Linked DNA regions of Coturnix japonica. The protein of the gene in region 1 interacts with the protein of each later gene in a pairwise test. Links are inferred from orthologs where the notes say so. Each region holds a gene or a part of one and is shown in the gene's direction. Other genes may lie near its edges. The genes, in order: EXOC1, SYBU, NUP54, GOLGA4, EXOC2 and TRIO.

Evidence for each region.
Region 2: the proteins of EXOC1 (region 1) and SYBU interact in a two-hybrid assay, tested with the Homo sapiens proteins (2 studies listed by BioGRID and IntAct). The link is inferred for Coturnix japonica from reciprocal best matches to the Homo sapiens genes EXOC1 and SYBU.
Region 3: the proteins of EXOC1 (region 1) and NUP54 interact in binary tests that used the Homo sapiens proteins (3 or more experiments, as listed by UniProt). The link is inferred for Coturnix japonica from reciprocal best matches to the Homo sapiens genes EXOC1 and NUP54.
Region 4: the proteins of EXOC1 (region 1) and GOLGA4 interact in binary tests that used the Homo sapiens proteins (3 or more experiments, as listed by UniProt). The link is inferred for Coturnix japonica from reciprocal best matches to the Homo sapiens genes EXOC1 and GOLGA4.
Region 5: the proteins of EXOC1 (region 1) and EXOC2 interact in binary tests that used the Homo sapiens proteins (3 or more experiments, as listed by UniProt). The link is inferred for Coturnix japonica from reciprocal best matches to the Homo sapiens genes EXOC1 and EXOC2.
Region 6: the proteins of EXOC1 (region 1) and TRIO interact in a two-hybrid assay, tested with the Homo sapiens proteins (2 studies listed by BioGRID and IntAct). The link is inferred for Coturnix japonica from reciprocal best matches to the Homo sapiens genes EXOC1 and TRIO.

What each region holds. Positions count from the first base shown.
Region 1 is NC_029519.1:58,584,654-58,587,709, reverse strand, and holds the end of EXOC1 (exocyst complex component 1), read left to right. Parts: coding exon 1-99; intron 100-1,045; coding exon 1,046-1,240; intron 1,241-1,896; coding exon 1,897-2,049; 3' UTR 2,050-2,556; downstream 2,557-3,056.
Region 2 is NC_029517.1:119,514,168-119,516,529, reverse strand, and holds the end of SYBU (syntabulin), read left to right. Parts: coding exon 1-909; 3' UTR 910-1,862; downstream 1,863-2,362. UniProt on the Homo sapiens protein: Part of a kinesin motor-adapter complex that is critical for the anterograde axonal transport of active zone components and contributes to activity-dependent presynaptic assembly during neuronal development.
Region 3 is NC_029519.1:44,543,178-44,547,290, forward strand, and holds the start of NUP54 (nucleoporin p54), read left to right. Parts: upstream 1-1,313; 5' UTR 1,314-2,032; coding exon 2,033-2,084; intron 2,085-2,426; coding exon 2,427-2,588; intron 2,589-4,113. Other genes in the region: SCARB2 (lysosome membrane protein 2), read left to right, coding at 514-552. UniProt on the Homo sapiens protein: Component of the nuclear pore complex, a complex required for the trafficking across the nuclear membrane.
Region 4 is NC_029517.1:77,612,169-77,615,668, forward strand, and holds part of GOLGA4 (golgin subfamily A member 4), read left to right. Parts: intron 1-70; coding exon 71-91; intron 92-285; coding exon 286-354; intron 355-940; coding exon 941-1,016; intron 1,017-2,073; coding exon 2,074-2,177; intron 2,178-3,500. UniProt on the Homo sapiens protein: Involved in vesicular trafficking at the Golgi apparatus level. May play a role in delivery of transport vesicles containing GPI-linked proteins from the trans-Golgi network through its interaction with MACF1. Involved in endosome-to-Golgi trafficking.
Region 5 is NC_029517.1:62,068,069-62,071,446, forward strand, and holds part of EXOC2 (exocyst complex component 2), read left to right. Parts: intron 1-821; coding exon 822-883; intron 884-2,409; coding exon 2,410-2,469; intron 2,470-3,378. UniProt on the Homo sapiens protein: Component of the exocyst complex involved in the docking of exocytic vesicles with fusion sites on the plasma membrane.
Region 6 is NC_029517.1:54,045,804-54,049,303, forward strand, and holds part of TRIO (triple functional domain protein), read left to right. Parts: coding exon 1-131; intron 132-957; coding exon 958-1,727; intron 1,728-3,500. UniProt on the Homo sapiens protein: Guanine nucleotide exchange factor (GEF) for RHOA and RAC1 GTPases. Involved in coordinating actin remodeling, which is necessary for cell migration and growth. Plays a key role in the regulation of neurite outgrowth and lamellipodia formation.

The sequences.
Region 1 (3,056 bases):
TGTCTTGAAGCTGAGAAAAAAGAAGCCAAACTGAAATACACCGAACATCTTCAGTCTTATGTAGTCTACTCACTTGGACAGCCTCTTGAAAAATTAAATGTAAGTATACTTCATTCTAGCTATATACTACCCTACATAATTTTAAAGTACATATACAACTTTCTCTTATGGTTAGTTCGCACTTCTTGTTACCACTTTTAACTTTCTGTGGGTTGACCTCTTTCTGAACAACAGCCACCCTTGAGGACAAACAGCGTCTCTTCCTCTAGCTGCACTTTTTATTGCTGAGTATTACATTGTATGCTAAAGAGTACACTTAGGAGCTTCTCAGCTGTCCAGCTGTGTCCCCTCCCAGCTTCTTGCCCATCTCCAGACTACTATGGAGGAGGCAAGAGGAGGACAGGACATGTGTGGAAAGTCTTGCTGTGCCAAAATGCTGTGGTGTTATCAGTGCTGTTTGAGCTACAAGTCCAAAGCACAGCACCATGTAGGCTGCTATGAAGAAAATTAATTCTGTCTTGTCCAGAGCCAATGCAATGCTTCAAGTGATGTTACAGTTCTACATGCACATTCATAAGCATATTTCTTTCAGTTTTTATTATGTTGATCTACATGGTGAGGAATCTTGAGAAAATAGGGCAATAATGAACTAAATATAATAAAATAATAATAATAATACTGCTCTTGTATTGTTATGATTTAAGTAGAAAACTTCCAATTCAAATGCTTTGCCAGTTTATCTGAAAGATCCGATGTTAACTCAAGCTATGGTCACATTAACTTAGGAGTCTGAGACTGGTTCAGTATTAGATACAAGTGTATCTGAAAGCTTGACTGCTTCTATTGATGATTAATTTCTTTTTACCTTATTACTTACCGAGTACTGCATTAGTGTGCTGTTCTTTAATGTTTATGGCTGAGCACAACTTCTGTTAAACAGAACAACTGTTGTGTGTTCCCCACATTTTTGTTGAAGGTAGAGTTTGAGAAGCATTTAATTAGTTTGTATTTATGACAATCATTAATAGTATTATTGTTTTGTTAGCATTTTTTTGAAGGCGTTGAAGCTCGCGTGGCCCAAGGTATACGAGAAGAAGAAGTGAGCTATCAACTGGCTTTTAATAAACAAGAGCTTCGCAAAGTTATAAAGGAGTATCCTGGCAAAGAAGTCAAGAAGGGATTGGATAATCTTTACAAGAAGGTAGACAAACATCTCTGTGAAGAAGAAAACTTACTTCAGGTAAACTAAGTCATGGCTTAAAAATCTCTTGTATGCTTGCAGAAAGGCCTTTATTTTTTCTTTTATGTGATGGAAGAGATGTGCCTGGCTTCAGCAAAATACTGAAAAACACTGAATTTTAAACTGTTTTCGGGTGGTTTGTATGTTTTTAATAAATAAAATCACAGATTATCATAAGAGATTGGTTTCAAGTAAGGTGGTATGGTTCTGAAAGAAAATCCTTCTGTGATTCCTTAGTTAATTCAATAATTGCTAATTCACTAATGTACACATTAGTGAACGATCTCTATTCTGCAAAGTAAGATGTAAATAGAAAGAACTAGATTTAAATGAACCATTAACTTGGCATGAAATTTAGCTTGTACGCTGCAGTAGAACATAGTTCAGCTTGACTTTTTCTGGTAGCGTATCATTCAGATCTTCTGTTACATTCTGTAAACTTTCAAGTGTGAATATGGATGCAGGCTTGGTTTGGGTTGTTTTCTGTGAAGAGAAGTGACCTCATTTTATTTTTCTATTTTGTAATGCACTTGGTAGGAGTGATGTAAATATTAATGATCTTTCAGAAAATTGATGGGTAAAAAACTTTGAGAGATTTTAATGCAGTAAGTATATTGTACCAGTTGTCATATGCTAAAATCTGCTTTTGTTGGCAGGTGGTGTGGCATTCAATGCAAGATGAGTTCATACGACAGTACAAGCACTTTGAAGGGCTGATAGCTCGCTGCTATCCTGGATCAGGAATTACTATGGAATTCACTATACAGGATATTTTAGACTACTGCTCCAGTATTGCACAATCTCATTAAGGTTCTATAAAGGGACAGAGAAGCTAGCAAAGTCTGTGTCTGTATTATAAGGGAATCAAACACTAAAGTCGCTGTTTGTTTTTAAAAGGTGCATTTCGGTGTGTATATACATCTAACTGTTGTGTATGTATGTGCTTCAACTGTCTTTCAGGGCAGAATGAAACCTTTGGTCATTCATTGCTCTTCTACTGCATTGAAACACTGTTTGAAAGCATTAATCTATGAAACACTTTGTATACATTTTTCCCCTCCCCTAACACTCAAATGCTGTTATTTATAATTAAAATAATGTTGTCCTTGTTAAAAGCAGCAAGCACTACCTGTGTAGTACACAAAAGGGCACTGCCATCTCCACTAATGCTTTGTGTCTTGGAGATTATACGAGGATTAACGGCTGCTATATGTCTTCCCATCCTCACTGCAGACAGTGTGGGTGTGGGATGTTGGGCAGTGGGAATGATGTGATGTGCGGGCGGCTGTCCTTGATTAAATCTATCCATCGCATTCTTTATGTCTCCGTGGTGTGTTAATGTCCCTATGGTGGCAATGCAGAGCAGCTCCATGGCGCTGTCTGTGTGTACTGCCGTAGCGCCGCTCTATTTCTCAATAATTTTTCCCTTCCTTTTAGCGGCTGTGATGTAACATGATGTCACGGTCTCGTGACAGGGGCGGGGCTGTGTGGCAGGGCCGTGCCGCGTTGCTGTGGTAACAAGGCGGAAGTGGCTGCTGCGCCGCGCGCCATTTTCAAACCGGCGTTGGGGCCGGGGCCTCCCGGGGCTGCGGGGCTCCCGCTGCGGTACAGGCCGCTCCCGCCCCATGCGCTGTGAGCGCGGGCAGGGCCGAGCAGCCCGGCGGCCGCTGGGACCGTGTTTCCTCCGGGCTCTGCCGATACATCGGTGACACGGCTCGGCAGCTCCTCCGTGCTTTGCCCTGGAAGGATTTACCTTCAGCAGCGTGTCGGTAAGGCTCAGTCGGAGGGAGAGGGACGGGGGAGGTGGGAATAGAGC
Region 2 (2,362 bases), on another chromosome or scaffold:
AAATATTTCATAGACATAAACATTCAGAACAAGAAACTGGAATCTTTGCTGCACAGCATGGAGATGGCTCAGAATGGCTCTCTGCGGGATGAGGATGTGTCTGACACACCAGGGAAGCCATTGGCACTGTATGCCAGGTTGCCAGACACCCTCATCACGGAGGAGCAAGCTTTGGAGGTTGATAGTGGGGTGCTTCTAAATGAGGACATAGCTAATGGGAATGATTCGTTTCAAGAGACTTTCAGCACAGCATGTGTTGAGTCGGCTGATCCAGCTTTCTTCATTTCTGTCATGGATCAAGAGGTGCTTGAAAGTGTTCCTGATGAAAAACTAAGGTCTCCTAGGAAGGAGGAGAGGAGCGGCATCGTGATGGTGGAACAGTCTGTCCAGACTGATGTGGTGCCATATAGCCTCAGTGTGGAGCGGCTCATTCAGAACATCTTCGGATCTCAAGATGTCTCTCCTCTGAGCCCGCCTTCCTCACTGAAGGAATTGAGTGATTTTTCTTCTGGAAGCTTCAGTGATTCTGCTATAGTAGTGGACTTAACTCCAAGTGATCCAAACTCTGCTATCCTTTTGTCTCCTATGGAGTCTCCATGCAGAAAGTTGGATTTCGGAGTTGATGAAAATCACGTCATGAAAGAACTTGATTTTACGGAAACGCGTGATGAAGTGTTCGGGTATGTGAATACTTCCTCTGAGACAGGAATAATGCAGAGGCACTGGAGTGGAAGTCTCCTTGTAGATGTCCTGGCTGTAGCAGCCCCTGTTGTACCCACTGTCCTGTGGGCATTCAGTACTCAGAGAGGAGGAGTAGATCCCATTTACAATATTGGAGCGTTGCTTCGTGGGTGCTGCCTGGTGGCCCTGCACTCATTGCGTCGTACAGCCTTCAATATTAGAGTCTAAATTCCACTGTCACTGGGCACCAATGGGCTGAGGTAGAGAGAGGGGGATGAGAGATACAAAGAGATATTGTATATTATGGCAGAGTCCATTGTTTTGCTCTTGAATACTTGATTTGCACTATAAATCGGTTCAAAAACATGTTCCTTGTTTCCAAATGAAGAAGGTTGAACCCTGTAGTTCCGCAGAATGTTTTTAACTGACATAACCCAGTACTGCTACCTACAGAAGTAGTCTTCCTGCTCCCAGTCACCCTCCTTCTGCTGGTGTATTTCTCAGGCCAGCACATCCACACAGTAATGGGGATCAGGGACAGCCTCAAGGCTGAGTTAGCCTTCATCTCCCTTTTACCCAGCCAGTTCACTGTGCAAATGCACAGACACTGTGCTGTGCCTCACGGGCAGCGTGAGGTGCACATAGGAACAAAAGGCCAGGGAAAGGTGGGGTATTTCTGTAGGCAACGGTAACAAAGCATTTGTGAAACTACAGTGTTAAGTAACACGGAGACTCGTTTCCACTAAGTGTTCCACACATGTACTCTAAAAAGCATGCTAGCGCTCGCCATTTGTTGTCTGAAGCTTCAATCCAATTTAAAGAAAACAAATGTATTTCCCTGACAGCTTCCCGCACATCCTTCATGCCTGTCTTGTGTAGTGCTCTTCTAAATCCTGCAACTGCTTGAGCATTCCACCAGTCTTGTGCGCATACGGACTGCAACCAAATGTCCAGTTCTTGGGAGTCTTGAAACTGTTAGGACGATAAGTATAGGCGTGGATACACTTTGAATAGTAATGTTGTTTTAGAGTCTTAATGTATTGGAACCTGATAGTCATTTGAGCCCTGTGAAACATCATCTGTAAATGTATCGTGTTTTAACTTATTGTTTATTTAACTGCTCTACTGTAAATTACCTTTATAACCACAAGTTCAGTAAAGCATGTTAGAAATGTTCAAAATCTTTCGAGTGTTTTATTGTAGCAAAGCTATTAAAAGATACTCGATTTCAGCTGGATGTCACACGTGCAGAGCAGGAGGAGGCACCATATAGAGGCATGAGGAACTGTCCGCATCCTGAAGAGAGTTTAAGAGAGAACAGCCCCAAGAGGGAGCACCACACAGAGGGCTGTGCTGGGTCAGTGATGCAGCTGCCGCCTCCTCAGCTAATAGAAGCAAGCCATCTAATTATTAACTCAATGCAATCCCAACTTGTAGCTTCTCATCTCTGCGCTTCCAGAAGCGTATCAGGCTTCCTGGCATTTCATAGAAACCTAGAAGGCTTTGTGTAACATGGCTGAGAGCCACAAAGTCCCACTGTATACACTGAGATGCACTGTGGCCCTCAAGTCATAAACTCTCCATGCCCTAAACTTGAGGTCTGCTCCTAAGAGAAGGCAACATCAGCCAGCAGGTGGATGCAGCGGAGTTGGCTCCATGCAAACCTCCAGCCACTGAAATC
Region 3 (4,113 bases), about 14 Mb from region 1:
GGGACACCTGCTTTTCATATTTTCTCTGTATTATTTTTGTTGCTTTTCCTGCAAACATAAAAGTGATTCTGCCAATCAGAGCTATCTTTGTGATGCAGGGTGACTGTGGTCACATGGAAAGTACTACAGGGAGCCTGAGCAATCTCAGCTGTCAAGTATGTATATATCAGTATGCTGAATGCCCGTGTCACCTGGAGCAGGCAGCCCCCTGTATGGGGTGCGTCCTGGCCCTTTTCCTCCACTCCCCCCTGCCTCACTTCTGCCTCTGCACATGCACAGGGAAATCTGGAACATCTCTGCATCATCCCAGTGCTGCTACCTGCCAAAGCTGCCATCCACCCTCCAGCACCTCCCTTGCACAGTGAGGGTTCCCTTAAGTAAATCTGCACTTAGAAGTAGGAGCCAAGAGCTTTTTCCTTTCCTCTCTGGAGTTTAGGAAATTTAGCTTCCCTGCACGGAAGCTCTCTAATGTGCCACATTCAATCTTCCTGTGTTGCAACTTTTTTCTTTCAGAGCACTGAAGAAGAAAGGTCCCCGCTCATCAGGACATAGTAGTAGATCTTCTTAAATACGTGAGCTTGGAGAATAAATCATTAGAGCTTACCTAATACCAGCTACCACTACCCAGTGTTGTCCACTGTGGAGAAACAGTCGTGTCAAGTGTAACGTTCAAAGATGGAAGAGAATCTGCACTGTCGTCAGGGGAGGAGACTTTTCTTAGCAGCTAAGTTACAACTACTGAACTACATTTTAAAACTGCTCGAGATCCTGCTTTTTTCAGCCCCGCACTCTCTCGTACCTGCACTGACACTCAGAGACCATCATAACCACTTCCTCGGTGAAAATAAAACGGCCTGATTCGTTACAGAAACGACGGGTAACATTTACAAATGGCCTTAGGAGCGTGGGCTGCAAAGAACCCTTGTAGAGATGCAGCAGGTTCCTGTGTCACTCACACACCTGTCGGTTTCCTGTAGCCTCACTGTTGTCTTTTCTGTAAAGTCCTGCGCGCTGCTTCCTGCCGGTTTGCACTGACTGTTTGGTATTAAAGTACAGAACGGATCTGTACAACTGATCCAAACCGCTGCGTGGAATTCCTTAAACACCTGGTGCTAGCAGGTAGAAAGAAGCCAACCCCTGGGAGTGCTCTTCCATTCAGACCTTGTAGCTGTTCTAACCCTGCATGGGATCCCATTGCTTGTAGGGGATATCCTTAAAGTTCATGGGGTTCTTTTCCCTTCAACTGAAAAAGAGAAAGCAAACCAAACTTGCATGGTGTTGCTGTAAGGCACAGCAGAGGTGTGCTTTTGCTCACTGGTGGTATCTCAGCTACCAGCAGTGTGCGTTTTGTACACACGGGTTTGTTGGTGACATTTGTTGTTTGGGATCAAAACACACCTCCAGCCTGAGGTACGTGCAAGGCCTGGAAAAGCTCTCAGCATTTTTTCCTCGCCAAGTGGAAGCTGCTTTATGAAAACCAGTCCCAGCAGTGGGACTTTTCCCACTGATGGAGCATTCTAATTGAGACGCGTTTCCATTAGATGTAGACAGTGACACACGTTTTAAAATGTATCATTTTCTTCCACACAGAGGTATAGCGGGGTTTATCCTGTTTGTTTTTCTCCATTGGTTTGCTTCGTTGGGTTTTTTTTGCCTTGTGGGTGCCTCGTTCAAGTTTTATTCTAACTGGGCTGGCTAACGATGCTCACCGTTACTTAGGCTCCACATTACCAAGCCCTGTCTGAGCTTCTCTCGGTAAACAGGCGAGAAAGTTCTAAGAGAACGTTAGCGCTTCCGATGGCGAAAGGCCTACAGCAGGGCGGTCATTACAGCAGGCCGGTCTCTCCGTCACCCTCCGCCCGCCCCCCGTCCCGCAGTATCTGTGCTGGACCGCCTGGCGGCGCGTTATGGCGCAGGCGGAGCATGGCGGCCCGCCCCGTCTGGAAGCGCCGTAGTGACGGGGCCGGAAGCACCACCCGTTGTTTCCTGGCGGTGCGGGCTGCGGGCACGCCTCCCGCCGCTGCGGCCCCTCATGGCCTTCAACTTCGGGGCGGCGGCGGGCGCCGGGGCCTCCAACCCTAGCGGTGAGTGCGGGGCCTCCGCGTGGGGATGGAGGGAGAGCCGTGAAGGGCCGGCTGTGAGTGCGGCTGGAGCCAGCCCCGCCGGCGGGCTGCAGGGCGACACTGGGCTTACTGTGCCATACGGCTCAGGAACGCCATCCCAATAGCAACGTGGGGAGAACGGGGTTAAACCTTGCTTTTAGCTGCTAAGCGTTTCGTGCTTGGTGCCAGTTAATGCCTTACTCTCGTTATTAACTATGCCTGCCTCGTCTTTAGTGCCAAAACGGTATGTCAGCTGTTACTTCCGAACCTACCTTTCTGCAGAACTAACGCCGCCTTGCTCTCTTTCTGCTTCATGCTTGTCAGGATTTGGTGGGCTTGAAACCACAAACTCCACCGCCGGTGGGTTTAATTTTGGGGGTTTCGGATTAGCTGCTAATCCCGCAGTGAATTTTAATATTGGGAATTTCGGTGTTTCTACTACCTCAACTCCGCCATTCAATTTTGGTAACAGTCTGGCAAGTGCAGGTAGATATTACACATATACTTGTTCTGTAATAAATGTGAATAGCAGAGGTCCAAGAATTGCGTTCCTGACTCAGAATCTGTGCTGAACTTCCTTTATATACAGTGAAGACTGGAGGCAAAAGCTCTGTAGTGGAATGAGTTATAGAGCCGTGCAATTATAAGGGTTTTTATTTTTGCCTACTAAATTCTCCAGAAGTAGCTGATAAGGAAAAATGACCACATGGCTGATTAGACACTGAACTGGAGATGAATCACAGTAACCTGCTAGCCTTATCCCATCCAAAATCGAGTCTCAATCACACAGCAGAACTGAAACATTGGTTCTGCCTTTAGGTCTGGGCCATCAGAACTGTTGCAGAGCTGGTCCCTAATGCCTCATTTCCTCACGTGACATTCTTGGACTGCTGCAGTCATGGTTTTCATCCTCCCCATGTCTCCTCATCGGCCTTCTGTTGGTTGCCATGAATGTGCTGCACTTCAGTTGTTTCCGTGGAGAAACAAATTTTATACGATCAGCAATAAAATGAACAGCTCTCACTTTTACCTCCATTCCTAAAACTGTTCTGCCTCTTGACGTGGAGCATGTCCCAGCAAAGTAATTCCCTGGGGGGGTTTTGTCCAGCATGGTGTGTGCTGACTGCTTGTTGAGAAAACCCTTTGTAGCCCCATGTAGGCTCATCAGTTCTGAGTAACCAGCTGATAAATTTCCAGCTAAGTCTGTCCCATTTTGTTAAAACAAAATTGCTCAACTATATGGATTTCTCACACTTTTTCCTGAATGGAATTCTCCCTTGGTTCTTGTTGCCGCTGCTCGTATAGGAGTTATATTCATTCCACGGCATCATCACTCCCTGTGTTAGAATACTCCTACCTGTTTTGTGAGCTCAAGGGATCTGGTTTGGTTTTTAACTGGGTATGAGTGCTACTGGACTGTATTTCTTGAGCTGAATTGTAACTAATCCAAGAGAACTTGGATATATTATTTTGTTCAGTAGTTTGCACTTTTAGAGCCTTCTCTAAGAAAGGGTGTTAAATTGCTGTGAACACAAATCTGTCTAAAAATTGTGTCGTCTGCTGTTGCTGCTAGGGTTGCTTATGTGCTGATAGGACTGAAACCTGGAAGTTTCAGGGAGCAGCTCTTACATTTAGTTGTGTCGTTTGCTGAATTAAAATAAAATGTGGCTGCACATCAGCTTTGATTTGAGCTCTTTATTTTGTATGTATATACAAGACGGTAAGTGCAGTAGGTCTGAACAGGCTTCTTTTTTGCTGTTGACACGTGAATGAGAACTGGCAGCATTGCTTTGTTTTGATACATTGTATATACTAGACTGTCCATCTTCATTTAAATGTGTGTAAAATCGGTCAGAAACATGGAGGATTTGAAACACGGGGCTATTCAGGTGTCCATATGCTGCACATTGGGTCAGATGGTGCATTAGCAAAGAGATGGTGTGGTCCGAAGGACAAATGCAAAGATTTTTGGGAGCTGTGGTGGAGCTTGGGCCTGTGCTTGGGTTTCCCC
Region 4 (3,500 bases), on another chromosome or scaffold:
GAGATATTTAGTATTTTCTTTTTTCATACCTACGTTTTCATCCTTTTTTTTTTTTTTTTTTTTCTTTTAGGTAGCAATAGCTGAACTTCAGGTAAGTTTTGATTTATTTATTTTTTTAATGTTCGTTTTCTATGTAATGCTATGTCACATCACTTTGAAGCTAGCAGCACTGCTTATAAGTTCGTGTGAATTGAAAGTTAAAAAAAAAAAGTAAAGCTTAAAAGCTTATTAAAGTGGTATGTTCAGGAGTTTTTTGAAATTTTCTGTATGTGGCTGTTCTTTCAGGCACAGCTTGCACAGAAGACAACGCTAGTCAACGATTCAAAGTTGAAAGAGCAGGAGTTCAGGGAGCAGGTAAGGGCACTGTTTGAACAAAGGAAAAAACATCATCTGATTATTTGTACTTGCAGTTGAAACTATTGGTTCCTTTCAACTGATGATGTAGCACAGCTCTATACAGCAAGTATAATACTAATACATGTAAAATAGTTTTGGCTCATACATCTATGCACATTGTCAAAATACTTCTCGGTCCCCAGGGTATGAAAATACCAAATATAAGTGGTGCAGGTTATCAAAAACATCTGCAGAATGAAAATTTACAAATGTCCTTTTTGAAATTATGTTTTCCCACTTTTTCTAAACTAGATTTTCTGGTTTTAGGTAAAATAAGTAAATAATGTTATATCTGTGTTTTAATATATGTATATGTATGTATATATATGTATATATCACATGAATATAGGTATATGAATATGTATGTGTATAGATATTTTGGTGTGTCTATATGCACGTGTACACAATTTTCTTTAGTTAGGCACAGTTATTAATATCTTATTTGAGGGCAAATTGCTCTACTAGAATTTCAGGATGTTTAGCTGGAACTTCTTATGCTTACTTTTAACTTCAACAGTTCTGATCATGACTCATCTCTGTCTAGATTCATGTACTGGAAGACAGACTAAAAAATTATGAAAAGAAAATGTATGTCACATCAGTTGGAACACCATACAGAGGTATGCATGTAATTTTCATCACACAAGTTTGTTTATTTGAAAGATATGCTTTTGTTTAGAGAATCCATTAATATATCTGGGGTTTTTTTGAAACATTTATCTTACAAGTGAAACAGCTCTGTATCAGCAATCTGTTATCTCTGGGGAATTGATAGAGGCAGTTTCAGTGAAAATTTGCTGGAGGGGAATTATACCCTAGCTTAACTGAATACAATTTTTGACTCTTTAAAAAATCTTAAATATGCAATCATTAGATTTCACAAAGCTTTCTTGTGTTGCATGTTTGGACTTTTGCTATTCTTATAACTAAATGCCCTTTCCAAGATCTGCTCTGACACCTTGATTACCGTGCTGTTACTTTTCTTCCTGTATCCATATTTATTAAGAGCACTCCTTTAAAAAGTTGTCTTGAGGAGTTACTTTAAGCAAATCACTTTATTATTATCTTTAACCTCTCTGCGGACCATTTCTTCTCTATCAAAATTCCACTTTCCCTGAAGACTTGTATCCAAATTAGTCCAACACCTAATTTAATTTGCCATTGGCCTGTGATGCTGGGTTTATGTTAAATTGTGAATCTTTCTATCTTCCATCTTGGTGAGAATAAAGCTAAACTATTAGTTTATTCTCTATAAATATTCCTCAGAAAAGTTATTCTTCACTGCTGTCTTTGCAGAACTTGATGAAGGTAGTCATAGTTTGGTATACAACTTCCTAGCATATTCACCAATGCCTTTTTTTTTCTTAACTTTGTACTCCTTTTTTTTTGTTTCCATGTATGTATCTCCAGCCTTACACCTAGTCTGTAAGACAGCTAAAGCTAAAAACGAAACTTCATGAGTAGTACGTTGTTGAGGATTTTTAATTGTGCTGATCCATTATGTTTTATGCTTCAGGAAATTGCTCTGAGTAGGTTTTAGGCATCTGGCATAATTATGGTTGTTACGCCCATGTTTCATACTTGATTACATTTTGTTTCAGTGACTTTCTGACTATGAATAACTTACATTCTTATGAGTTACTCTTAGTATAAATATACTTATTTTTGTTTACACAGATGGAAATCTTCATCATACTGACGTTTCTCTCTTCGGAGAGCCCACTGAGTTTGAATACTTGAGGAAAGTGCTTTTTGAATATATGATGGGTCGTGAGACAAAGGTATGGAAAGTTGTATACAGTGATGTGATGTGGGTTAGAATGAAGTTACGTTCCTTGCTGTATTGATCTTAAGTGCCATGATGATGGCAATTCATCATGCATTTTCTGTCTGTGTAAAAAGACTCAATGGACTTTCAGGGCTTTCTTAGAAAGAGACATGTATCTTTACCAGCTTCTCTGGAACGCTGAGATAAAACACAGGGGGAGTGAAAGGAGAGAACACCAGGGAGGGGGAGTGTGTGTCACATCTCTCACCAAGGCACTTACAGAAACAAATAGCCCTCCAGGTAGGTGTTATTTTACCAGCAGAAGACTTAATGTCAGTCAGGCTTACTGGACTTTGAAAGCTGATATGCACTGTATTAGCAAACTACTTTTGTGATGTTATCTTGTTGCAAATATGATTAAGTTACAGTTGTATTACCCTGTTACAAGCTCTGAAGATGAAGGGTTGTTTGTTTTTTTTTTTCAAATTGTTCCTTAAAGATCTTTTATAAGACTCCCAAATCTGTGTACCTTCACTAGTTAGTATTAACCTACTATTAAAAGCAGAGAAAAGCTGCACAGTAGGCTCCTTGTTGTATGCTGACAAGCTTGTGAAATCATTCCTATGTTGGAATTTTACTAGCTTGTAACAATACTGATGCTAAGACCAGCTTCAAAGGAGGTATGTCGTAACACAAACATTTTTCTTGGATGACAAATGCTGTGTGGATGTGGATGAATATAGGGTTTTTTTTTCTTCCCTGGGGTTCTTCCATTCTTTGTTGTACTGCTTTCAACTTGGACAGTTGCTAAGTAAAAAGGTTTTATGCAGGGTTCTGTGTTAACTGTGCTCCTTATGGAATAAATCTTGGTCTACACAGGACTTCTTGTCCTTAGAAGATTCCTCTTTCTTTTTATCCCTTTTCTTATTTCACTATTTAACTCCCATTTTATTAAAAATACAAATTCTGGATCCAAAAACAACCACCAGAATCACTAGTTAGCTTCTGTTCTTAGGCCTGTGGCTCATTGGATGGCTCTCTTACCTTAATAGCGTCTGTTAGAAATCATTAAATAAAAATATATATTATTGGATATTACACTTTTGAATTGCAAGGGACTTAAACACAAGAAAATGATAATAATAATAAACCCTAACAACAATAACAAACTTTGTCGGCTATGTTCCAACTTCAGCCAGCCCTTGAGACTGTACTGTAATGGATGACTAGTACATATTATTTACAGGTAGGAAGCATTCCTTCAGTTGCTTTGATGAAAAGATGTTTATATTTGTGTGAGTATGTATTTGTCCTGGAGATTGCACTCTATGTAATT
Region 5 (3,378 bases), on another chromosome or scaffold:
GAAATTCAGTTTATAATTTAAATGAAATGCTTGATCACTTTCTGAATATTTTTGTTTTACATAAAACTTCTGTCATGAGAACAATTATTTTTCAAAGAGTGAAGGAAGATATAGGAACTTTGGTTAATCTTTGACTTCATTGTCTACCATTATGTATGGTGGAGAATGGTGTAGGTGAAAATCATCATAGGATCACAGAAAGCTTAGGTTGGAGTGGACCTTAAAGATCATCTAGTTCCAACCCCCTGTGATGTACCTAGACAAGCTGAACCGTGCAGGAGTGACATCCTCAAGCTTATGTGCCCACCAGGTGACAGACAAGAAGCAGACCAGAACCATTCTACTTCCTCATCTAGTGGAAAAAAAATTCAGCAGCAAAGCCAAGAATAAAACATATATTGACAGACTTTTGTACTCCTGTTTCCTTCCTCCCTGGGCAAGCCATACAGTGAAAAGTCAAGCTCGCTGTATTATTTTTTGTTTTATTTTGCTGTTTTTAAGGTAGCATCCCTCTCCCTTTCTATCACAGAACTGAAAAGACAGAGCAAAATCAAAGCTTTGTTACTGTTACTGGGAGACAAACCAATGTTTTTAGGCTGTTTGACTTGAATCAAAAGTATGAAATTTATTGCAGTCTCCTAACTGACGAAGCAGCGTGGCAACCAGAAATACAGGAAATGAACTGTTACAGGCCAAGGCTACTCACTGCTGTAGCATGTTTTAGTTTTTGCTTCTAAGAAAGATGAAGGTTTGGGACAGTGGTGTTCTCTTGATCAGAAGACGTTATGTCATTGTTTCAGTACTTGTATTTCTGTCTTTAGGCAAGACTTGAAATCTGTGCTTTGAGGGATACGGTGGCCATATATCTAACTCCTGAAAGCAAGTAAGTTCTGCTACATTTTCTGCTGTTTTCACTGTAATGGAATCCTTTGTAAACATGCAAAAATACATGATGTAAATTAAGGATTTTCAAAAGATTGGTTCAGGTATGTGATATACTACATGATATACTACATATGTATGTAGAAAATTAATTCTTCTAAAGGTTTATCAGTTGATTTGAATTTGTGAACACAAACCAGGTATTCCTCATCCTTATCAAATGAGAGTTGGAAAAAAAACAAAACAAAGTTCTTAGTTGACTTGCTAAAGAAACTGTTGTTATAGCAAAAGCAATTGACACTGAGTTTCATCCCATTTATCTTAAAGCACACTACCAAGAGTCTGCCAGCCACTTCAGGGAGGGTGTAGAACCAGAGACTAATAGGATCCCCTCATAAGGACATGGAGAGTAGGGCTTTCCACAAGCTTGTATATTCTCCTCCTTTTTGAATGAAAACCTTCAAAAGGCTTTTAGCAATTTGTCAGTGAGGTGCAAGACTGCAGATAAGTTCTGGAGGACATGCTCACGCATACAGCATTATAATGGGGAAGGAAAGTGTTAGCAGCATACAGTGGTTGATGTAGTCAAGGCATGTAAAAATACAAGTCATGAAAGCTGTCAGCAGTTTTGAGTAAAGCTGGTTAATTGAAGTTTCTGAGTGAGTATTTTTGGGTCTGGATATGGGTGTTTTCATTCATTGTTTTTTCATTTGTCTAAGCTTTTGTTAGGATTAACATTACATGCTCCCACAGATTGTGATTTAGTCTTCTTATCTGATTAGTATTTTGTTGGAGACATTACAGGACTTGAGGCCCTGATATGTCTTTATATCACACATGGTATTATTCTATGGTGTCATTGATTTCAATTTCAAAAAAACTTGCTTCCCTGTTCTGAGTGTTTGACAGTGACGTAGACCTAAATGTAAGCTATTTGGCACCAGCTCATATTGAATAAAATGAAGTTGCTGTTGTGAACTGTGGAAGATGGAGCTTCATAGATGTCTCTTTATTTCTGGGCTCTTCACTGGTAGTAGTTGTCCTAAAGTCACCATTTTAATTTTGTAGAGGAAGATTAAATCAATCTGTGCAGGAATTGCATCATTCCCTGCACTTCTATTCCACATCTGCTGCTCAGAGAGGTGTGGAACTGCCTTCCTTGGAGATGCTCAGAATTTGACTTTGCCTCAAGAAACCTCCTGTTTCCTCAGAGTTGTCCCTAATTTGAGAGGATGTTTGGACCAAGAAACCTTCACTGTGTTCTAGGTACAAGGCAGGCTAGCAACTATCTATAATTCTTCAATGGTCTGCATTGTCAGGCGCTGTTTTAAATCAGTGGCAGATTGAACATTTCCTGTTTGCATCTGTTGTACTTCATATTAGGATGAGTTGAGAGACCTGCTTGAGCCCATGGCCACTTTGTTTAATTTGCACATGAACATCAAGTGCTAAGTTAACATTTTGTTAATTTAACTGAAAGTTGAGACTTGTACCAGGGGAATATGAATATTTTTGTTTTCCTTGCAGCTCAAGCTTTAAGCAAGCTTTGGAAGCCTTGCCTCAGCTCTCAAGTGGAGCTGACAAAAAGTGAGTATACTGCACCTTCTTGTCTTTCTTCTGCTTTCTGGAGCCACTTTCATATCAGAGCTTTACTAGAAGAGGGCTAACTTATACTGTATTTGACCCTTTAGATTTACAGTGTAGAAGGATCTTCAGACAAGGTTAAAAATTACCTATTTAGATAATTCTTGTAATTCATCATATCTCATTCATTATATGGCCTATTATTTATACAGAGGAGCCAATGGCTTTGTAGCATATGTCACTTTCTCATTCTAGTCTTATCAATTCTCTGTACTTTTATATTTATTTTATAATTTCAGTTCATTTTAGCTTTCCGTGCTGATTTTAGTTTCTGTGAGGTCCATTGTCTTGTCTTACTGAATTTAACAGCAATAAAGAAAATACCAAGTAACAAAGTGCAAGTTTTCAGTGGCTGATATTTAGGCAACTCTCAAAACTGGCTTGCTTCATTTTAGAAACAAGAAGAGTCTTTTGTTCTGTCTTAACATCAGGAGGAGGCATTTGGGGTTCTTACTTCCCCACCACAGCAAACTTTGAGAACCAAGCTGCTGCACTGCACTAAGTACAGTATTTGTTAGTTTATTTTACAAGAATAGCTTAATACAGAATAATATGGTAAAACTAGAATGGATTTGTCTGAAGTATATTAGAAAAAAAAGTTGAGCTTCTTTGTACGATCCATGATCCACAAACGGTCTTCTCCCAGATATCTTTTGTATTCAAAACTACCCTTCACATGACATAAGAAGTCTAAAGATACCTTCTTGCTGCCTTACTTAGCCTAATTAAACACAGGAATCAGTTTTGAGACAGTTCTTTCAACTCGGACTTTCCACAAAACCTGTAGGCTTGTTTGTTTTTTGATTTATATTTTCTCCTTAGTCACAAGGACAGATGAGAATCAAGAACTCC
Region 6 (3,500 bases), on another chromosome or scaffold:
ATTTGCACTAACATCAAGAACGGGTGATGTCACGGAGACCTTTGTTTTGCATTCTGCCAGTCCAGGAGTCCGCCAGCTGTGGATCCATGAAATTAACCAAATTTTGGAAAACCAGCGCAACTTTTTAAATGGTAAATCATCAGCTCTCATCAAAAGTTCATAGTTGAGTGAATTCTCTCTCATCTGTTGTTTTCTTTCCTTTGAAATGCTCTGCAAGTTTCCTTTTTCCTAAACTAATACAGAACAGTTGCGGGTTTTGCTGAATTTTTGCTTTAGAACAGATGCTAGCATTTCTTGTAAGAGTGATAGTCTGAATTTATGTGTTGTTTACTTGGTGAAATGTTCCAAATGTTTTGTAGAATTGAATTACGAGAGACACCATCAGTTGATGGGAAGAGTCTGTGTAACCTTTGAACCAAATGCAAGCCTTTAAAGGCTAAATACCAGTTCAGTTTTAAGTATCTGTTCAGAATCTGTTTTCCATTTGTTATTTTGTTGGTCATTGTTGTTCCACCTTACTTGTGGCATCAACAGTCAGGTTCTGCAGGAGACCATGATGATATCCTTTGGATACTTCCTACTGGGAGGTTCTTGCTATGTTTTTGTATCCGTAGCTTGTTGCCCTGATCTAGAGTTGTAATGGGTAGAACAATACACTGAGAGTCATATCTCTTTTTGCCCATCTTGGCTACTGACCAACAGTGCGATCTGGAGGAAGACATTTCTGCCTGGATTTAACTTTTCTGTCTTTAACAGAGAGCAGGTGATATATGGCAAGTCATTAAAGGTATAATATACAAAAGTGACTTGAAGTCTATGGCGTGACTGGCATTGATAAGGGAATTTCGCATTTGAGACACATTCTCCTTTTGTCACAAAAAAAGTCTGCTTGAACTATTTCTGTTCCCTTTCCTGCTCTCTGTTCCCTGATCACCTCCACTCCCTTCCCCACTGCAGCCTTGACGTCTCCAATCGAGTACCAGAGGAACCACAGCAGTGGTGGAGGTGGCAGCGGCAGCAGCAGTGGTAACAGCAGCGGCCCCAGCAGCTGTAGTGGAATCCCCACCTCCAGCCGTAGCCGGCCATCCCGGATCCCCCAGCCTGTCAGACACCATTCCCCAGTCCTGGTCTCCTCTGCAACCTCGGCCCAAGCAGAGGCAGACAAGATGTCAGGTATGTCCATTCACAATCTCTCCCTGCCACACTACAACACCTCCTTAGAAACTGGCCTGAGCCAGCCAGACAGGCACCCTCCCAGTGCAGAACCGGACGGTCCTCAGAGAGAAGCTGAGCAGATTCCCAAGATGAAAGTTATTGAGAGTCCCAGGAAGACAGCGGGAAACATTTCTGGCTCAGCTGACGGAGCCCAGAAAGACTCACGTGGAAACTCAGAGGAAAGTCGCTCAAGAAGCAGCGTAGGATCACTGACGCTGGGGAAGCCAAGGCCAGGAGCAATCTCACCAATGAACTCTCCTCTCTCCACGACTTTCCCTTCTCCTTTTGGCAAAGAAACCTTTCCACCCAGCAGCCCCCTGCAGAAGGGCTCCTTTTGGAGCTCCATCCCAGCATCCCCTGCCAGCCGCCCTGGCTCCTTCACTTTCCCTGGGGACAATGACTCCCTCCAGCGGCAGGTCCACCGCCACTCTTCACACAGCAAGGACACAGACCGCATGAGCACATGCTCCTCGACCAGCGAGCAGTCAGTTCACTCCACCCAGAGTAATGGGGTAAGAGCGGAGCACCTCTGTCCTGCAAGCTCTTCTAAAACCTTCCCATGCTCCTTTCCTGTGCGTTGCCATCACTCTCCGTACTAACTTCTGGCTCTCCGGCGCTCTACTGCTCTGAAATAATCAACTGCTCCGGTGTCTTCTGCACATTAAAAAATAAAATTATCTGCCTCTTTGTGTGTGTATACATAAAAAATGTAGATGGTGATATGTATACAGACACACAAACAACTGCTAACATTAGATACAGTTTCTGCCTCTGCTGAAAGCATAGATCACTAGGCTGATCCTTACTAACTTGCTGTCCTTGCTGTTTCTTCTCTAATTTGAAGGCACATAATTAACTTGCTGAAGCGCAGCAACCAGAGCACCTTGGGGTATGCATTGCAGCCAGCATTTACATCTGACTTTTGAGATTTTGGCAGATTGTCTTGGGGCTTTATTCCCTGTCACGCACAAATCCACCGCCAGCTGTCCATTGAGTTTTAACTTCGTTGAGACATCTACCAAACAGTCCCTGGGCTGCTTGATATTATTTTGTATTTATTTCCCCACACACTCCTCCTTTCAGCATTAGTTGATATACAGTATTCTCTTTTTAAATCTTATGCCTGGTCAAAGAAGCTTCCTACGGTCCACTCAAAAAAGGCAATCAAAGCCTAGCTAAAGTAATCAACTGTTCTTCTGCTACAATCAAAACAAATAGCGGCTCCACTTTTCCCTTCTGCATTGTAAGAAGAACTGTTTTAGTGCACCTGGAGATTCAACCTTTTAGTATGTACTTGGCATGTTCGTGCAGAAATCTGGGGGGGAGGGTGTCAAATGAATCCGCAGACTTTGTAATGATGTCTTCCAGGAAATGTAACACAGCGATCACAGGGCATGTGCAACATAAGCAAAACTGTCAAGGCACTTGCCATGGATATCATAGGGCAGGCTATGGTGCCTTTGTTAAAAGTCACATTTGATTCTTTTCTCACTAAGTATTGTGTTCAATGTTTGTTTTTCCACTCTCTCACAAATCGTATGTAGTAGCAATTTTGCAAATCACCTAACTTGGCATTCTTTTTTTTTTTTTTTAAGTGCATGCATTTCTTTATAGAACTGTTTTAACACAGAGAATTTTCTTCTTAGTCCTGACACTTACCTTTATAATAGCTTCAGAAGAAAAAATAATGCTTTGCATGTATCATATTTTGATCCTGATATTCCATCTTTTCATTTGATATAGCTCTGTCTTGTTGTTTATCTTCAGTCTAGCAAAGTATGATGGTAATATATTGGCTGCAGTTATCAACGTGTTTCACAATTATTGTGACTTGTATAGCATTGATGTCATTGCATTTAAAAAAAAAAAGAGAGAAAGGAAGGCACTAAATTTTTCAAAACATTTGAATTTTGATACTGTTGGCAAAGGTGCCTTTGGTTTTTTGTCACTGCAAAACAAAGTCCGAATGCATGCCTTCTGCTTCACTGCTGCATTTCTTTTAGCTGGGTCACAATTATTCATTTATAACTCCATTTGCAGCCCATATTTTAGCAGGATTACACATTGCATTCAGCAGGCTAGAGAAGATGGGTCACGAAGGTTTATTTTGGTGTATTCATTTGTATGTGTATATTTACACACACATATGGTTAGGGTTACTTCATAGGGTTTCTTGGATACGTAAAGGTCACCCGTAAGAAGGAAAAACAGATGTGTTGTAATTGCTGTTATTTTTTTCAGGAATATGGAAGCAGTTTTTTAGTGTTTGATTGCCTAACCTCTGT